3 linked regions of the Arabidopsis thaliana genome follow. The protein of the gene in region 2 interacts with the protein of the main gene of each other region in a pairwise test. Each region holds a gene or a part of one and is shown on either strand. Other genes may lie near its edges. The genes, in order: bZIP48, OFP10 and AT1G72570.

Region 1 (3,162 bases), on a different chromosome or scaffold from region 2:
TTGGATGTAATGCATACAGAAAAGAACGTGGCTCACAGTATTGTATCCACATTGTTGCATTGTGGAAAATCTAAGGATGGTCTTAATGCACGTAAGGATCTGCAACATCTTGGTCTACGACACGCTTTGCATCCTACCACACAAGGAAAGAGAACATATGCACTTAGCTCCTGTATTGCTTTATTTTGTGCTTGAGACTTTTCTTATGTATTTTGGATCTAAACTTATGTTTAATCAATGGTCAATGTATGAGATTTTATAAAGCAGGTTATGTGTTATGTGTACTATAATCACATCTCAGAAAATGCTATAAGAATACAGGTAATAGAATATTTAACATATGACTAATGCTATGTTTTAATCATCTATCGTAGCTTATAAATTGATATAAGAACATAACATAGCACATAATTTGACTAATTATTTTCCAATTGAAAAAAGGCAAACCACGATAAAACAACATTTCGCAACAGCTATATTAGAGATATATAACATAGCACGAAAAATCAAATATTATATAATTTTTTTAAGAAAATTAAACGTGATAATACAACTGTTCTTTATAGCTATGTTATTAAACTATAACATAGCATACTGAACTCACGCTACTGTATGTGAGGTACCTATAATAACAATGCCCTAAAATAGCGTTCATGAAAAAGTTATTAAAGACATATTATAGCATTTTTCTCGTGATAAGAATGTCCATTGTAGTGTAAAAGACATAAAAAATAACATAATACACATAAAGACACTAAGACTTCTAAAATTCAAAAGACTCACTTGGACACTAAATGCAACAAAACTCACAACGAAAAATACTATGACAAAAATCATATCTTTTATATATTCAAATTCATTATTATATTTTCCAAAATATTGAAACAAACGAGATCCTATGTAGAATGGGATAACGCAACAAACATCAAATTACGTTTTTTAACCATAATTAATATTCATAAATACTTCTTAATCATTAATACAAATATTTTTATTAATATCATAATTAAACATAATATATCATGTTTTCGGTTAATCCTCTAAATTTGCTATGATTAGTTTCTATGAATTGATGAATTTCTCTGCGTATCAACATGTCTCACTCTCTAGATATCAACGATTTTAACATTGGATGAATTATTGTCAAATTTATTAATTCGATTGCAAAATTACATTGAAATATGATATAATAAATTAAATATATAAAATTACAAAATAAACTTATTAAATAAAATATATTATAATTATAATTTATGATATAAATTAACAAACTAAAATTTCTACACATATTTCTCCACGATGTAGAGTGTGGGTTCTTATTTAATGATCACTTATAAAGGAAAACGAATGAGGGACAAGTCAGTACTTAATTACTTTAGTTAGTTATATTTTAAACAATAGACATGTCGAATCTTTTAAGTTAAATGCATATAATGGATCGAACTTGGCGCTCAAACGTATCCAATCTTTTAATTAAAGTTTAGCCGCATCACTCTCTCTCTCTCTCTATAAGTTCATTCTAGGGAAGGGAAGCATCCAAACTTGGTTGCGACAAGACAAATGCTAAGGATAGATTTAAACTAAAAGATATGAAAATTTTGTATTAAACATTGTATTTTTTTTTACTGCGTATTAAACATTGTATAAATATTTTTTTTTAATATAATTTACCATAAATTAAAATAAAAAAGGGTTTACGTGTATAAATCTAGGTTACAAAAATAAACAACTCAAGTTAACTATTATTGGGTTTAAATTATATAAAAAAACCAAAATTTTAAAAACCTTCTCGCAGTTTCTGCTCTCACTTCCAATGAACAAGTTATATATAAAACACTAACAATATTTTTGTTATGACTAAACTCTTTCCATTTCTTTGTCCATGTTCCACCACTATAAATTACGAATTATAGCATCGCATTTTTTCTTCTTATTCTATGCTCTTATAATCCATAGGACCCACTTCTACATGATTCTCCTACAACCCCATTATAAAACCCTTGGTCCACTTCCTCCTCTTACTTCAAAACTAACTTCCCAATTCTTCACACAAAATAAAAACACAGAAACTCTTACATACTCATATAAACCAAACTAAAACCATGATTCCGGCAGAAATCAACGGATATTTCCAATATCTATCACCGGAATACAACGTAATAAACATGCCTTCATCTCCAACCTCTTCCTTAAACTACCTAAACGATTTGATCATCAACAACAACAACTATTCCTCATCATCCAACAGTCAAGATCTCATGATAAGCAACAACTCAACTTCCGACGAAGATCATCATCAAAGCATCATGGTACTCGACGAGAGGAAACAGAGAAGGATGCTTTCGAACAGAGAATCTGCAAGGAGGTCAAGGATGAGGAAACAGAGACATCTTGATGAACTCTGGTCTCAGGTAATAAGGCTTCGCAACGAGAACAACTGTCTTATCGATAAGCTGAACCGCGTATCGGAGACTCAAAATTGTGTATTGAAGGAGAACTCTAAACTCAAAGAAGAAGCTTCTGATCTCCGACAGCTTGTTTGTGAACTGAAATCTAACAAGAACAACAACAATAGTTTTCCAAGAGAGTTTGAAGATAATTAGTATTACTCAAAGTGTCCAACTTTATCAGACAAAACGTAATCTATTAACACAATCAAAAGCAGAAAATTTTGGTTTTTATACCTTGGAGAGTGTTCTGTTCTATACAGTGACTTTGAATCCGTTCTTCAATATATTCATTGACATGGACTTTCCCATGATTCCCAAACCCATAGAAAACCCTACTTCCATTTTATCTATCTTCTGCGATTATAGACTTATAGTGCTTACTGCTTAGTGATAATGGTCTAAAATAATGAGACATTTCTAATCAGGGAGCCATTATCATCAAATACTTACTTGAAAAGGAAGTATTTACAGTTTACTCCCTAAACTTTGATTCTTTTTGCATCTCTAACTGGCAGTTTAAGAACGAACAAGATTTCGCCACGTGATTGAAATTTGGCTAAAACTCCAGTGTCATTTGGAATCTTATTTTACTCCAGTCGGGCACGTTAGAAGTTCTCAATCAAATTTATTTGCGGAGTACTAATCTGAATTTACAAAATATTATTCATTTTATCTGATAGTTTATGAAATGTCAATTTAGTCCATGCTTCTA
Region 2 (3,242 bases):
AAGTACAAAACCTCGCAGCTGAGGAGGCAAGATTAGATGACCAAATCAGGTATTTTCGCAGATAATTTTCCTTCCCTTTTCTGCTGTTTTGTATCATCTTTTTGAGAGTCGACCTGGTTGCAGAGAATCACAAGAAAGATTAACAAGCTTGAGTGAGGATGAAAACAACAAAAGGTAAGCGTCCCCTGCTATTTCTTCTGCCGAAAGGTACAATAAAACATATCTGTTTGTTCTGACGCTCCACTTTTTAGGTTACTGTTCGTCACTGAAAACGACATTAAGAACCTACCATGCTTCCAGGTCTGGTCTCCTTCTAGTAATTACGTGTTTCTCTTTGCCTTGCATTCTTCTCACTGGGGAAACATGTTTTTGTGGTGCCTATTTTAGAATAAGACGCTGATAGCTGTAAAGGCACCGCATGGAACAACTCTTGAGGTTCCAGATCCTGATGAGGTAAGCTTAAGAGCGCACAAAACCAAATGAGCGATGCACTGTCTGTAACGATTCTCACCTCTTATCCTGCCATTAATCAGGCTGGTGGTTATCAGAGGAGGTACAGAATCATTCTGAGAAGCACAATGGGACCAATAGACGTGTACCTAGTCAGGTAACACTGTCCTCAAACGTTATGCTTGCCCTGGATAAATCTGTAACATGGAAGTGAGACTGACATTTATATTGTGCTTTTTTAGTCAATTCGAAGAGAGCTTTGAGGACATTCCTCAGGCTGATGAACCTTCAAATGTTCCTGATGAACCCTCTAATGTCCCTGATGTACCTTCAAATCTTCCATCAACATCTGGTCTCCCTGAGAACCATGATGTATCTATGCCGATGAAAGAGGAAAGCACCGAAAGAAACATGGAAACACAGGAAGTTGATGATACGCAAAGAGTTTACTCTGACATCGAATCTCATGACTTTGTCGATGGTATCATGAAGATTGTTCCTCCAGATTTGGATGTAAGTCCCAACTGCTTCCTCAGCTTAAAATTTTCACCAATGTACATAATCACAGTCTGGAAAAGTAACCATATCTAAAAAATCATGCTTGACTTAATTCATATTTACCTGTATGTTACATTATATACAGATGGGTGTAGATTACTGGTTTCGATCAGAGGTAGGCGAAGTCAGCATCACAGACATGTGGCCAGATGAATGTATCCTTGATTTCTATCACTTTCTGTGATTTAATCTAATCTCTCTTTGAGCTTTTGAGTTTTTTCCTCCCCAAATATGATATCTGTTTAGAGCTCCTTGACTCTTTCATCATTAGCTGGACCAGACTGGAACCAGATGATTACATTTGATCAAGACCACGCTGGACCGAGCGACAACAAAATCTTGGAGCAGCCACAAACTCCATCGAGCCCAACACCAGAAGAATCCACTGCTACGAGATCACCTACAGGTAGCTGAAGTTACCATACCACATTACAAGCACCACCATATATCTGTACATAGAATCTGATTTCGGTGAAACCAGAGTTAATGTTGTACTTGTACAGTAGCTGCATTGCATTATCATAGAATAGAGATTGCAAAATAAAAGTAGAGAAACCAACCCCTTCGTTGTATTCTTCATTTTTTTTCTTTGTTAGCTTCTCAGGCTTAATATAGAATTAGCCTTAGCCCATTGATTTCTTAATATTGGTCTTGTTCATGTGAAACTGCAAAACCTTTTAGAGTTGTAGACGGGTGCTTAGTAGTTTTACATGCTCCATTTCCGGTTTACCAAAAAGGTAACCAGATCGAAACTAAAACATATTTCCGTTCATCAAAAATCTTGACGAAAACATATTGGTTCGGTTGTGGTTTGAGAGATTTCTTTTTGGTTCAAATCGGTTTCTATGTCCAATCCTTTGATATCACTCGAGATAGTTTCTTACAAATGATATCATATATAACTTTGAATTCACCTCAAGATGGTATTATTTTCCTTAAAAAAGAAATCCATCAAAATTGTGCATCTCCAAAGCAATGAGCAATGCTGAATCTCCAAGCTAAGTTAAATGAAAAAAAGGTTCCTCTTTTAACAAACTTTCCCACACCAACATCCTCACTCAATAATCTCAACTTGTTTTCTCTTCCTCTAGTAAAAAAAAAAATGTCTTTCAAGAAGATGATGAAGTATATACTCAAAACCATATTCAAACCCATTTTTATGGCATGCGGTTGCGGCTCTACCGTTCCACCTTCCTCTCACAGCCACTACACCCCGGGACCACCGGTTTCTCCCACGGTTTTACGCAGCCCATGTCCTAAGATCGATGAGAGCGTCGCGATGGCTAAAGAATCAATCAATCCGTTCGAAGATTACAAGAAGTCGATGAATCAGATGATCGAAGAGAGATATATCGAGACGGAAAGTGAACTTAAGGAGCTTCTAAGGTGTTTCTTGGACATAAACCCTTCTCCTCAACACAATCTCATCGTCCGTGCTTTTGTCGACGTCTGTTCACATCTCCAACCACCACACGACCGACGTGGGAAGTCACTTGGGAGATTGCTTCGTCTATATGTTAACAATCCTCTTGATAACAATGATGATGACTCACACCAAACTTCTTCAAAATGAGGAACTAAATCCTCCTCATATCTCTCTCTATATATAGATGTTACAATATTGTGAATAATTTCAATTTATGATTCCATGACTAGATGTAAACTATTAAACAACACCAACAAAAATCAAAGTTATACCTCAAAGCCTAGCTCTAACGTAACGATAATATTTTACTGCACAAAAAGTTTTGAAGTGTAAATTGGTTAAACAAAACCAAATTGAGTTATTTCGTTTTGGTTTTTGGATTTGGTTAAAACGAGAGATGAATAAGATAATTTCGATTTCGACTGTATAAATGATTAACAAAGATTAATTAAATTAATTAATTATAAATCCCTCAAAAAACCTCTAAACCATACAAAACTCCGGCGTGTTTCTCCGCCCCATCCTCAACGAAATACAAATCCCTCATCCTCTGAAACGCCTGCCACGTCAGCAAACTATCCGAACCGGCTTGATGACATTTCCCAACCGCCCGGTTAACTTCAAGAGACCGAGCAACCCGGTCCAAACCACCATACAATCTCTGCTCACAAAACCTCATAATATGTTTCACATCATAAACCCTATCACCGAAGAAAGCTCTAAGCAACCCTAAAAACTCACGCAACGCCACCGGAAGCTGCCGGCGCGTGAGAATCTTCACAAGGTAACCAAAATCATACGCGCTGTG
Region 3 (4,763 bases), on a different chromosome or scaffold from region 2:
TTCTTTTTTTGTTTCTTGACGGCTAGATATTTGTCCGGCTTTGTAACCGAGCATATAAATAAAATAAAAATTATATAAAAAGTTTTTTTTTTTTTTTTAACATCTGATATTACTTTAGTTTATCTCAAGAAGTCCATAGAAACCTTCAAATTTCCATTGACACCAATTATTTTCACCATGGCATGAGGGAATTAGCTCGATACGGGTTCAAAATTAATCAAACTATCAAAGGCTTGGATGGATTTGATTATGAGTTAAATAAGTTTCACTTAAATTTGTAACGCTTTTCCTTAAAGTACGACCACGACAGAAGAAGGCACACAAATTGAGGAATCGCCTCTCCTCAACTTGGTGCAGTTAATATATACTAATTAATTAACACTTATGTTATGGATCCTGTAAATAATGAATGCATTAACTTTTTTCAATTAAAAATAAAAACGAAATTTAATCAAAGTATATCATAGAGAATAATATATAGTGGATTCTGATAACTTAATTTGCTAAAAAAGTTGTATATATGTAGACCGGCCTCAATTACTTAGGAATATATGTTTATTAAACCATAAATGATTAAACAGACTGGACGAACTTATTTCCTCAAACCAACCGTACGTGGGAATAGTCTCTCCGGCGAGGAGTTTACGGTGTCGGTTAGTGGCCGGCGCCAGAGCTGGTGGGAGAATGTTTGGCCTGGTCGCTATCAACAATCGTTGAGCTTGAACATATCCTCTTCACGTCATATCTATTTATATCGAAATTGGTTACAGCGTTTAGGCCTCTGAATTTAATTGCCGCGATATCGTACGCCTCCGCTGCTTCTTCTTGCGTGCCTTCATCATAGTTACAAAATGTGATATTTAATAATTCAAAGGCTATGATATAATTCCATATGTATAGAAGTGGTTCATACTAAATGTTCCAAGGTACAAGTCCTTGTTTCCAGCAACTCTTCCAATTCTGGCTTGCCACCTTCCATGTTGATGATGCCTACATGAGTTATACATGCATGATCATCATGATCTAATTCCATGCATGTACATGTACATATATAAATATATACAAGTTTCACATATATGTCCAAATCAAACCTTGTAACTCCTCTATACACGGAAGCTCCCCTCGAAAACCCGCTGCTATTCCTATGATTATGATATGTAATTACAAAGCGTTTGTTAATGGTTAAATGCATATGACTATATAAGGTCCATAAATATCATTACAAACCCACTGTTGAGTAATTACCTCCTCAACATGGCAACAAATTCTTGCCGATTCATGTTATTGAGTTCCTCGATCTCCTTTTCGTAATTACTCAACTGAATAAAAGAGCGTCAAAGGAACTGATATCACAAGCCAAATCTATGTAGTTCCATCAAAATCAAGTCAATAAAATCGGAAAATGATTACATTCAAGATCCAAAATATCGAAATAAGTATGGAAACTGTTATGTTGCATGTATATAAGTGTACATATATAAAACACACTTGCATGTAATAAAGGAGTTAGAAGTGGAGCTAGGTACGGGACCAGAAAGATCAAACTCACAGGGAAATTTAAGTGAGTGGTAGGACCCCAATACTTCAGAGCCGCTAAATCATATGCCCTCGCTGCTTTCTCCTCCTCATCATACCCTCCTATTTTAGTAAGTATTAATTCTACTATTAAATGTTTTTCTATAATTATCAGAAGGTAACAAGGTTAATTTTTACTTCGAAGGCCAAAAATAGGGCAACAAGAAATGAACGAGGGATCTCATGCATAATAGGTTGTAAAATAAAGTTCTGGCTTACCAAGATACACTGTGATTGATCAAGAAGCGAATTCGAAAGTACATACGAAGCCAAAATTAAATAATTGTTAGTAAGATTATTGATGCATGATAGCATATTGAATCGGAAAATTATTTTGTATTTGTTTTTTCTGACCTTGTCTTCCTCTCCTTGTCTGTCCCTCCTTCTTACAGCTATTATCCCATAAGTGAGCTTCATATCTCCCTGTCCATCTATGCCTGTATACACGCACAACATAAATATGTGTCGACACAATTATACATAATCTACAAAATAAAATGACAAATATACATAAGTAACATAATTGTGGCATTCACATTTTTCTTACGTGTAAGTTTGAGACATCATTTAAACCAAAACAAATGTTTGAGACGTCATTATTTAATAACGTACGTACCTTGTAACTCCACGATACTGAGAAGTTCTTTGTCCATAACTATCAACCGACTTCCGAGGAACGGATTCCTTTACCTGAGGTTTAACAACCAATCTCTTCCGCTTCTCATCTACCTTAACCGGTTCTTCGACCCGTGCGGATACATTCGATTCGTTGATCAAATCAGAACAAGCCCCATGGCTCAAAGCCAATGATAGCATTGAGCCATTGGTGTTATAACCAGTCTCTTCGTTACTAAAATGACTAATATTATTGCTCGTACCAGCCTCTTCAGTAACGTAATGACTCGAGAGTGGGAATGCTGGAGTGCCTTGCTCTAACCAAGATTTGAAAACCGAGACCGAACCGACCCTCTCAAAACCTCCATAATCATTGCTAAGGTTCGGATCTAGGTTCGGGTAATGTGGTGTAACTACGGTTTGGTCGTGGAGAAGGTAACCGGGTGGGTTTAACCTGTTAACCACAGTGGTGCAGTTGACATTGGTTTGGTTATGGTTTATAGGATACTCGGTTTGATGAGAGTTTGAGAGGAGATCTTCCACCTTTGGAACGTCTTCATCATGATGATGATGATCAAAGTTAATATCATATCTCCAAACTACACATAAAATAGAAATCAAATTAAGAATATTAATAGTGGCCACACCAACAACATATATATACCAGGGGGATGATGTGTGAAGAAGAGAGTACCATCGGAACCGTCATGCCTAAGTTCTTCTTCTTCACTATTGCAGATTCTCAAAGGAGGTGTCAATGAAAATCCCAACCATTTCTTCATCTCTCTCTCTCTCTCTAGCTGTCTTTCTCGCTCTTAGTTTATATGTATAGGGTTTCGTTTTATATGATTTGTAGTCTCATACGTGCGAATATACATTAATATTTTTCATAAGTCTAAAACATTTAATAAATTATATAATTAAAAAGGTGGAAAAAAGATTTGAGACAAAACAGGTGGCGGTGAAGTTTTGTCGTAAGCATGAAAGAAAGGAAGAGGAAGTTTCTCTCTCCCTCACTCTTTCACATTCTCTTTCACACACACTTGCATCTGACTTCTAGAGTTTTGTGCCCACTCTCCCTCGGATCTTTTCGATGTATACGTATATATATATGGGAGATACACATGACACACTACAATGAAAATTTTCGTTCTTTGGTATTTGATTAACTTTTCCGTAAAAAAAGCACACAGTAGCGCTTAAAAAAGTCAGTATTTTGTTTCTTTCGAAATATGTTAATTAGACAATAATACATTTCTTTTATTAATGTCTTTCTTTCGATATAATTTGGGATATTTTTTAATAAACTTAAAGAACATTACATAATTTAAAAGTAAACAAAATTTGTACTAAAATTAGTAGTATTGCAAGGAAATTTCTCCTTAGACGATAAAAATGTGTTTTTGATTGCTCATTCAATCGATCCGTTTGAAAATGATTCTAACTGTGATGGAGAAGCCTGAAATGATCTTGCTGTTTTCGCAGATTAGACAAAGATCAATCTAAAAGATAAAAGATATATATAGCTGGAGTGTTTGGCAATATGCTATCTAACTCATAAAATTTGCCTCAAGTGTGAGAAGCGGATAATGTGACGGTATAACCTTTGAAAACAGACACACAAAATATGATAGAACAAAAGAATAAGTGATCTCTCTTATTTGGTTGATTATATTGCATATGTTGCTTATAGATAGAAAATGAAATTGTGTTCCAAGCTGTTAACCAAGACTTAGTGGGTAGTTTGTCCATACTCGCCACCCACATAACGAAATGTCGTTCTACACAAAAAGCCACAATTGTTTTCTTTAACAACTGAAAAATGAATTTGTGATTTTATATCTTGCTACGGGCATCGGAAATATTCCAACCTCTTCTACGAGGTAATCGACAATGCCATTACAGAACAAACCTTTTCTTACAATTACCTAGTTTGTAGTATACAAAATAAAAATCGAGAGGTCTTAGCTACAGAAGTTGTCTCCATGAATAATTTCACAGTAAGTAGTTTAGTTATATGTATTAATGTGACAATTTGTTTTATAAAACATTAGATTAAGAAAGTGAAAAAACACCATTATATTTGCTAACTCACAAAACATTTATACATGTCTATCTTAATCTATCAGTATGCAACACCTAAGGCCTAAGGTGAGAGAGATTCAAGCCCATGGGCTGATTTACTGAATTCAGATGACGGTTAATTTTCAATTCGCTGGCAATAATATTTATAGTTCTCTGGGAAAATATTCTGCAAGCTAATAAAAATCTGTGTATAAAAAAAAAAAAACCCTACAGCTCCGTCTTCTCTCCAGTCTCACAATTTTCCTCATATTTATAAATCCGTAAGGGAAATTTTCTAGAAACTCACCAAAAAAAAGTATTCTTTGAATTCAAAGAGAAACCCAAACTAGGGTTTCCATAATCCCTTTTCTACTATATCTCCCACTCTCATAAATCCGATCGCTAAAATCGCCACGATCCTTACTTTCTGGTAAGCTCTCAAGCGAAACCCACTAAAAGTTTCGTCTTTTTCTTCTTCGCATCAAAATCTGATAAGGGAAGAGAACAGT

What was found.
Region 1: the proteins of OFP10 (region 2) and bZIP48 interact in a two-hybrid assay, tested with the Arabidopsis thaliana proteins (one large-scale study listed by BioGRID).
Region 3: the proteins of OFP10 (region 2) and AT1G72570 interact in a two-hybrid assay, tested with the Arabidopsis thaliana proteins (one large-scale study listed by BioGRID).

What each region holds. Positions count from the first base shown.
Region 1 is NC_003071.7:1,329,817-1,332,978, forward strand, and holds bZIP48 (basic leucine-zipper 48), read left to right. Parts: upstream 1-2,102; coding exon 2,103-2,603; downstream 2,604-3,162. Other genes in the region: AT2G04137 (phosphogluconate dehydrogenase (decarboxylating), NAD-binding domain protein), read right to left, coding at 2,367-2,546, 2,709-2,792.
Region 2 is NC_003076.8:7,362,699-7,365,940, forward strand, and holds OFP10 (Ovate family protein), read left to right. Parts: upstream 1-1,990; coding exon 1,991-2,581; 3' UTR 2,582-2,728; downstream 2,729-3,242. Other genes in the region: E2F1 (E2F transcription factor 1), read left to right, coding at 1-49, 124-174, 252-300, 388-453, 534-607, 693-963, 1,094-1,163, 1,280-1,422; CAF1b (Polynucleotidyl transferase, ribonuclease H-like superfamily protein), read right to left, coding at 2,907-3,242. UniProt on the Arabidopsis thaliana protein: Transcriptional repressor that may regulate multiple aspects of plant growth and development through the regulation of BEL1-LIKE (BLH) and KNOX TALE (KNAT) homeodomain transcription factors.
Region 3 is NC_003070.9:27,329,590-27,334,352, reverse strand, and holds AT1G72570 (Integrase-type DNA-binding superfamily protein), read right to left. Parts: upstream 2,973-4,763; coding exon 2,885-2,972; intron 2,790-2,884; coding exon 2,192-2,789; intron 2,013-2,191; coding exon 1,930-2,012; intron 1,804-1,929; coding exon 1,795-1,803; intron 1,639-1,794; coding exon 1,550-1,638; intron 1,320-1,549; coding exon 1,246-1,319; intron 1,143-1,245; coding exon 1,092-1,142; intron 991-1,091; coding exon 914-990; intron 834-913; coding exon 655-833; downstream 1-654.